Callithrix jacchus: one gene and its partner. The protein of the gene in region 1 interacts with the protein of each later gene in a pairwise test. Links are inferred from orthologs where the notes say so. Each region holds a gene or a part of one and is shown on either strand. Other genes may lie near its edges.

What was found.
Region 2: the proteins of BRAP (region 1) and NUMA1 interact in a two-hybrid assay, tested with the Homo sapiens proteins (2 studies listed by BioGRID and IntAct). The link is inferred for Callithrix jacchus from reciprocal best matches to the Homo sapiens genes BRAP and NUMA1.

The regions. Positions count from the first base shown.
Region 1 is NC_133510.1:114,545,960-114,550,443, forward strand, and holds the start of BRAP (BRCA1-associated protein), read right to left. Parts: upstream 2,897-4,484; 5' UTR 2,752-2,896; coding exon 2,670-2,751; exon of another isoform or gene 2,398-2,669; intron 265-2,397; coding exon 103-264; intron 1-102. UniProt on the Homo sapiens protein: Negatively regulates MAP kinase activation by limiting the formation of Raf/MEK complexes probably by inactivation of the KSR1 scaffold protein.
Region 2 is NC_133511.1:68,865,463-68,869,867, forward strand, and holds the start of NUMA1 (nuclear mitotic apparatus protein 1), read left to right. Parts: upstream 1-1,588; 5' UTR 1,589-1,791; exon of another isoform or gene 1,792-1,979; intron 1,980-2,340; exon of another isoform or gene 2,341-4,405. UniProt on the Homo sapiens protein: Microtubule (MT)-binding protein that plays a role in the formation and maintenance of the spindle poles and the alignement and the segregation of chromosomes during mitotic cell division.

The DNA of each region.
Region 1 (4,484 bases):
TTATGCTAGATGTTAAAATCGTAGGCTTATCAAACACCATGTATAAAATAGGCAACCAGGGTTCATGTTACAAAAGACAGTCCAGGGTTTTAGAAAGCATACCTGGGATGGACTTCATTGTCTCAATGATCACATCTGTCATTTCTCGACGGCCGAGATGCTGATGGATAATTGCTGCTTTCTCACCTGGTGACTTCCCTTCTAAACAGGCTACAGCTGAAGCTAGTGTTGTCTTTTTGATCTCCTCATCAGACATTTCCCCTGCTAAAGAACACATAAATGATTAATACTAAGTAATAAAACAAGCTCCTCTTTATTCTCTATTCATCCATTATTAGGTTTCCCTTTTCTTTCTACTGCCTTCCACCAAGATGATAAGAAGCCTTTGTAGTATCCATCTCACTCACCTCTGGGACCACTGTGGAAACAGTCAATAAGTAGCCAGGAAAATATACTCAGAAATGCAGGCTGTTCTACTGAAATCATGCACTTTAATTTTTTGAGACAGTCTCACTCTGTCATCCAGGGGTGTGATCTTGGCTCACTGCAACCTCCTCCTCCTGGGTTCAAGCGATTTTCCTGCCTCAGCCTCCCGAGTAGCTGGGACTACAGGCATGCACCACCACGCCTGGCTAATTTTTGTATTTTTAGTAGCGATGGGGCTTCACCATGTTGGCCAGGATGGTCTGGAACTCCTGGCCTCAAGTAATCCGACCTCCTCAGCCTCCCATAGTGCTGGGATTAAAGATGTGAGCCACTGTGCCAGGCCCAAAATCATGGACTTTAAAGCAAATTGACTCTAAAAGAGAGTCCCTAATATATGCTCTGTCAGGGAAGGGACTATGTCTGTTTTGCCTATCACTGTATTCCCAGCACTTACACCACAATGCCCAGCACATAGAGGAAGCTCTCTTAAATATCTGATGAATAAATGGCTATATGACTGACCCATGCAGATGTCTGTATGTGGCTAATATCAATTTAGCTGACTTTCAGAACTCAGAAACCACTTAAGCCTTTGGAAAGATGCTCATAAGCTGTTAAATCATATTCAATTTTCATTTGCAGCTCCAAAGGTCACATACCCAGGAAGTTTCCAATGACATCATACCTACCTGCCCCCGTCCCTCTCTCCAAACCAAACACATCTTCTTGTAATAGCTTTCCAAACTGTTCCTTCTTTCCTTCATAGCACTTACCACAGTTGTAATTCTACACTTACTCTGCACTTAATTCATGTTTCCTTCAAGAAACTGTTGGTGCCATTAAAGCAGAGACCCTGTCTGATTCAGCATATCAGGAAAGCTCCAGCAGATGTGAGCATGAAATAAGTTATTTTATTTTTATTTTTTTGGAGATGGAGTTTCACTCTTGTCGCCCAAGCTGGAGTGCAATGGCACAAACTCAGCTCACCGCAACCTCTGCCTCCCAGGTTCAAGCAATCTTCCTGCCTCAGCACCTGGAATAGCTGGGATTACAGATATGCACCACCATGTCCAGCTAATTCTGTATTTTTAGTAGAGGCGGGGTTTCTCCATCCGGCTAATTCTGTATTTTTAGTAGAGGCGGGGTTTCTCCGTGTTCGTCAGGCTGGTCTTGAACTCCTGACCTCAAGTGATCCGCCTGCCTTGGCCTCCCAAAGTGCTGGGATTACAGGTGTGAGCCACCTCACCCGGCCCTTTTTTTTTTTTTTTTAAAAGAGTTTCTCTCTTGTCTCCCAGGTTAGAGTGCAGCGGCACTATCTCGGCTCTTTGCAACCTCCGCCTCCTGGGTTCAAGCAATTCTCCTACCTCAGCCTCCCTGGTAGCTGGGATTACAGGCATCTGCCACCATGTCCAGCTAATTTTTGTATTTTTAATATACTCAGGGTTTCACCATGTGTTGGCCAGGCTGGTCTCGAACTCCCGACCTCAGGTGATCCACCGCGCCTGGCCAAGAATTTCTTGAATGAATGTTATTATTAGGTAATTATCTGAGGACCAAGGAAAAGAGCCAAAGCTGCATTCCCCACTAAGGAGCTATGCTACTGGTGTGAAAACCTCAGACTCAAGTCCAGCTCACTGAGTTAGAATCCCAGTTTCACTCACTACAGATAACCTTGGGCAAATCATTTAATCACTAAGCTTCAGTTTCCCAATGTGTAAGAGACACACGCCACACCCATTTACCTCATAGGGCTGTTGCAAAGATAATTAAATAAAATGCACAAAAGGTGCTTAGCACAGTGCTGGGATATACGAAGTGTCCAAATTTAGTTATTACTGTGGTTAGGGGGCACCTCAATGGATATACTTCCAAAAGGGAACAATTTAATTAAACCAAGGACCTCCCAGAGTTGCTGGGGACCCAGTCGCTGCCTCTACGAAGCCTAGAGGGAAGCAAGTGAAATAAACATACCACTCGACTCTCTCGAGAGGGAGACGCGCCAGGTATAGACAGAACGCCCGCAGAAGGCACTGGGAGGGTGGTTCGGGGCAGCGCTTCCCTGAGATGACACACGGGAAGGCCTCTCAAGGGCAGATGGAAAAAGAGGAATCCCGACCACCTCTCCGCTTCTTCCGGAGGCAAGAGCCCTCGCCACGGGCTTTTTCCGGGACAGTGCTTTGCGAGGGAAAGCCCCCTGGGCCCAGACCCGATTACAGGGAAGGCCGCGAGGCCACGGGACTCACCCGCGGCGCTGAAGCCGAAGCCGGCAGGGACGGGCGAGTGTTCCGCGAGCTCCAATCGGATGACAACAAGTGACACACTCATAGGGCAGGCGCTGGCCGGCGCGGGTCCCCGGCTGGCTCAGGAAAGGCTGGGAGGCGAGACGAGGGGCGGAACACCCAGGAGCCGGCAGCGCCGCCGCCGCCTCAGCAGCAGCAGCTCCTCGCAGAGCTCACAGAGCCACAACAACTTCCACTTCCGCCTCCCGGCCGCCGTCGCTGACCGTGGGTTACGCATGCGCGCATCACCGCGCACAACGATTGGGCCGCGCGGCAGGGGGTCAGCCTGGTGTCCTTCCGGACGGGATCTCGAGGAGGTTGGAGCAGGAAGTCTTGGCGATTGCTGTGGCTGGGGTCTCGCGCTTAGGCTGAGCGGCAAGTTTTCGCCCAGCCCCGAGTTAACCTCTGCCTGCCCGAGAGGCCTCGTCCTCAACCCACCTCGTCTGACGGCGCGGGATCCCCGGCTCCGCGAGGTCTCCGAATTGTCCACGCTGTCTGCTATGCAGAACTTTGCCCCTTTTGTTGTGTTTGACTCCTCCCTCTAACACTAGTAAGGGTGGTTTTGTTTCTGTCCCACTTTACAGATAAGTACAGTGAGGTTCAAAGAGGTGAAGTGGCTTCTAAGGAGCCATAGGGAGTGGAGACTCGGTCGCCATTTAGACAGCGATCTGGTCGGGCGCGGTGGCTCGCGCGTGTAATCTCAGCACTTTGGCAGGCTTAGCTGGGCGAATCACTTCAGGTCAGCAGTTGGAGACCAGCCTGGCCAACGTGGTAAAACCCAGTCTCTACTAAAAATACAAAAAATTTAGCCAGGCTTGGTGGTGGGCGTCTGTAATCCCAGCTACTGGGGAGACTGAGACAGGAGATCGCTTGAACCTGGGAGGCGGAGGTTGCAGTGAGCCGAGATAGTGCACTCCGGCTTGGGCAACAAGAGCAAAACTCCATCTCGAAAAAGAAAAAAAGAGAAAAGATAGCGATTTGCTGGTTACGAGCACAGTGCTGGAGTTCTGGGTCCTCCTCCCCACCCTGTCACTTCACAAATGTTTACTGAGAGTTTGGACACCCTTGGGATGCGTTGGCGTATAAGATAAACGTAGTTCCTTTCCATATTGTGAAGTCGACCTACATCAGCATTTGTGCAGTCTTCAACTAGTCATTGCATAAAGTTGGCATGATATCATAACTTCATGCAGTTGTGAGGATGAAACAGAATTATGTATATAGAGATAATACTAACTTTCTGAGACTAAGCATTCTCTGCAGTATGTCAGACTGACTTTTGTATGTAGATATTGACAGACACAATCAATGCATAGATGACAGGATGCTACTCTAGGTACATTCTATAATAATAATACATATGTAAGTACATAGTACATTCTAGATATGTGTATGTGCAGACTGTATGTCTATAACATGACCACAAGATATATGTGTATATAGAGCTTGTGATTACATCCTGTGAAATACGTTTCCACATGCCCTGTTTAGATCAGGGTTTCTCAACCTCTGTACTATTGACATTTTGGGTTCTGATGCTTCTTTTTCTTTTTTTTTAGCCAGGGGTCAGGGTGTCCTGAGCATTGTAGAGTGTTTAGAAACATCCCTGGCCTGACCCACTAGACGTCAGTAGCATCTCTCCCAAGGTGGTGACAACCAATAATGTCTCTGGGCTTTCCCAAATGTCTCTTTGGGGTCAAAAAACATAACCCCAAATGTTGAAGAATCACAGTGTTATGTGAAAGTGCATAAACCATACATACATACTATGTGCATAAA
Region 2 (4,405 bases), on another chromosome or scaffold:
AGACATGGGTGGTGTGTTAGCCCTCCTGTTTCCTGTTTAGTTAAAAATGTCAAGTCTCATTGTCTTTAGTCTCTCTAGTTCCTTTTCCCCATTACAGCTTTCATGGAAGGATCTGAAACTTATTCAGGCTGAAGTGTAAATAGTCCAAAGTAGGCCCTACAAGTTACTTTTCCCTGGGGCAGTTTAACTTGTTCCTTGGAACAGGTCTTTCAGCTATTGAGGCCGTAGGCTCAAGCTAAAGAGACAGCTGAAAGTCGGAGAACTGGAGTCTAGTTCTAGCTTTGTCACTAATTTGGTGTGTGGCCTTGGGCAAGTCCCTTTTCTCTGGGTTTCATTTTTCCAATCTGTGAAATGAAGACAAATACCCTTGACTAACAGAGCTGGTAAGAGTATCAATAGAGAGACTGTGAAAGCGCTGGATAAGTTACTTATTGTAATAGATCTGTGAGGACTAAAAAGAATATAACTAACTAGAGCTTTGAGAAGCGGACCATGGAGAAGGTGTGGGGATAAAAGGGAATCTGGGAACAGTGTGGGAGGATCCTGCCAATTGAGAAGAGGTTTTACTGTTTGGGGGAGGAAGGAAAGAGGCACTTCACGCCCCAGGAAGTTTCCTACATCTCCAGAGTTAGGGTAGGGACTGCGGATTTACTCTATCTAATGCTAATCGCATGTTTTGGAAGAGGGTTCAAATTCTTCAGAGGAAAACATGTTTTGGAAGAGGGTTCAAATTCTTCAGAGGAAAACAAATCCCATTTCTGAGGGCGTTTCCGATCTCCCAGGTTGGGCCTGGGACTTGAAGCATCTGATTTGGGGAGCCTTATGTTTGTGTTGGGGGCGGAGGTTCGTTGTTTTGTTTTGTTTTGTTTGAGATGGGGGTATTGCTCTGTAGCCCAGGCTGGAGTGTAGTGGTGCAATCACGGCTCACTGGCAGCCTCAATTTCTGTGCTCAAGCGATCCTCCTACCTCAGCCTCTCTAGTAGCTGGGGCCACAGGAGCACGCCACCAAGCCCAGCTAATATTTTGTATTTTTGGTAGAGACGGGGTTTCGCCATGTTTTTAAGGCTGGTCTCGAACTTCTGGCCTTAAGCGATCCGCCAGTTTTGGTCTCCCAAACTGTTGGGATTACAGGCGTGAGCCACCGCGCCCGGCCCTGGGGGAAGTTCTTAAACACTCCCAAATCTGTATGGGTTTGTATCTCAATGCTTTTCCCTCCCTCTGCCCCCACAGTTTGTCCCATGTGGGTGTTGTGTCTTGCCCACTGTGAAAGGGAATGAGGGGAGGTGGGGGAAATCTCAGATCCCCCAGCAGGGAAGTTCTTAGTCGTTCTGTGGGTGCCCCTCCCTTCTCCATAGATCTCTTGTCCCCTAGAATGAGTTTCCTGTATTCCCGCCTGACTCACCCGCAGTTGCTTCCTCTCCAGTCTCGGAGTCCCTCAGGGTTACTCAGGGCAACTCCATAGCAACTACTTTTGTCGCCACTATCCCGCAGGCGCCGTAAGAACTGACGCTATGCTTACCGGGACCTGTAGTTTGTCAGAGGCGGAGCTTCAAGGCCGCGGGTGGCGCTGGGATTTGTAGTTTTCTTTGCTTTCAAATCCAGGCCGGGGTCCGGAAGCGGTGATACCCCTTCTCTTTCCCAGTGGCCCTCAAACTTCCTTTCCCCGGGTCTTCAAGCGTGCCCCGCGTAAGACAACTGCCGACAGAGGCCAATCAGAGGGCAGCACGAGGGGGCGGAGCCATAGTTTAAACTAATTGTGCGCTCACAGCGCTGGCCAGAGCCCGGGATAAGGTACGATTAGTGGGAATCGCAAGGCGGAGCGGGAGCGTGCAGCCAGGTAACCGGCGCGGGCCCGCGTCTGGCATGCGGCCTGCGCACCGGGGTGCTGGAGAGGCCGGTGTGAGCGGAAGGCCTCCTCCGTAACCGAGTCCGAAAGGGCACAATTTGGGGGTAAGGTTTGTTAGGAGAGCCGCCTGTCTGAGGGGGAGGAGCCGGGGGGGGTGCCATAAAGGGGAGGGTCTGTTTGGGGGCGTGTCTGTGAAATTAAGTCTGAGGGCGACGGGGGTCGGGGTTTGGGGGTAGGGTAGTGCCTGAAAGGCTTGTAAGCGAGGGGTCGGGTCCTGGAAAGTCTTCAGCGTTTATCGTTATCAATAGCAGTAGTTATGGTAGTGCAGTAGTCAGCATTTTTCTGAGCTACACTGTCCACAATGACCTCCCAATGGTTTTTCAATCCTCTAAGCACCTGTTATACTTTAAAGATGGGGAGGCCGAGGTTTTTAATGTTTAGCTTGGCCAGGGTTACGTAGCCAATGCGAGGTTGGCTCTACTTGGGGTTTTGCCAGTTGGGCATAAATGAAGACGGGGAAGGTGCTTTGTGGGGGTGCGCATTGTCTTGGGCTGGTCGGTGTATTTTGAGCCTCACTTTTCATATATGTAAACTTACCTACTTCCTGGGGTAGTTATCCTGGTCAAAAGAGGTAGGTCTTTTTATTTTTTATTTTATGGGCTTGTTTTGTTTTGGTATTTTGTTTTATTCACAGATAACATGTTTCATACACTCACCTCGGAGGGTACAAATTTATGATTATAAGTGATGTGACTGTGTGAAGATTGTGGGTTGATGCTCCCGCCTCTGGGTACTCTCTTTTGCTTACCTCTGAGTTAGCACTTGTCATCTGGTATTTTAAGAGTCTCTGCGTGTTTGTCTGCCCTTCTAGATAATGAGAGACTTTTTCGTCACTGTATCCTAATGGCTAAGGCAGGATTTGCGACATGTAATGGGCATTAATGTTTGCTTTGGAATAATGTGTTTTCCTGGACTGAAAGGGCACAGGAACTTTGCTTTCCCATTTTCTTTTTTTTTTTTTGAGACGGAGTTTCGCTAGGCTGGAGTGCAATGGCGCAATCTCGGCTCACTGCAACCTCCGCCTCCTGGGTTCAGGCAATTCTCCTGCCTCAGCCTCCGGAGTAGCTGGGATTACAGGCACGCGCCACCACGCCCAGCTAATTTTTGTATTTTTAGTAGAGACAATGTTTCACCATGTTGACCAGGATGGTCTCGATCTCTTGACCTCGTGATCCACCCGCCTCGGCCTCCCAAAGTGCTGGGATTACAGGCGTGAGCCACGGCGCCCGGCCCCCATTTTCATTTAGTGGCATTTGAACCTAAGTATTAAGCTGTCCTCTTTCCTGGAATGTCACTCCCTCTTGAAAACGTGATGATATTTTCTTGCCTTAATACATACCTCCCTCTCTCTAGTATCTGTTCGCTGGTTCTATGTTTCCAAACTTCTGGGTTGTCTGGTCGTTAAAGCTTTAATAGTAAGGGAGTTGGGCCTGTCTACTTTGTGGAGATCTTTACTGCTGTGAATATATGGGAACCGGGGGTGAGCATGAAAATCATGTAAAGGAGCTTTCAGTCAGCACGGATGGGTGTATGTTTCCTCTCTCCCTCTGCTTCTGTGTGGTATTTTCTCTTTTAGAAGAAGCACACACGTTGTGAAAGCTTCCGAAGTACTCTTTTCTTGGCCTAAGTTCAAGCAGTGATGACTAATTGTAATGCCTAATCTTAGTTCAAAGCAAAAAACTGTGCACCCCAAAAGCTTAAAGATCTTACCTGAAAGCTCATTAGGGAACATAGAATTCTTTTTTACATGTGGAATATGGAAGCGGGAAGAATGCCTTGAAATAAGACTTGAATTCTCGAACTGTTAGGATGAGGGCAAAGCCCTCCTTAGGTGGCTAAACAGAGCTGATCAGGGGCTGTTTGGACAGCTGTGTCTAATTGATAAAATTATGATCAGAAGATATAGGTTGGTGCAAAAGTAATTGCTGTTATTGCCATTGAAAGGGTGTGGTCATTTAATTCAGCCTCTAACCCACTAAACGTATGAAAAGGTGTTGCCCAGACTCAAAATGAGGACTTTCTAGAATGAGACCATTCCCAAAGTCAATCCATCTCGATGTTGAGCAATTCTATAATTACTACTTGTGCTCGCCTCGGCAGCACATATACTAAAATTGGAATGATACGGAGAAGTTAGCATGGCGCCTGCGAAAGGATAACACGCAAATTCGTGAAGCATTCCATATTTTTTTATTAAAAAAATAATTATTATTATTACTTTGTATCTGGGCATGGTGGCTGGCTATGTCATCCCATCTACTCTGGAGGCTGAGGCAGGAGGAGCAGGCGGAAGGATTGCTTGAGGCCAGGAGTTCCTGGCTAGCTTGGGCAATATAGTGAGACTCCATCTCAATTAAAATGTGTGTTGTTTTACATTGTTAGTGATTATTTTGTTTCACCCATATATGTCTACTGTTTGTCCAGTTTTCCTTGCATTTTATTCCTTCCTTTCTTATTATAGATACATACATCCTTCACATGTTTGCTTAGGTGGGAATC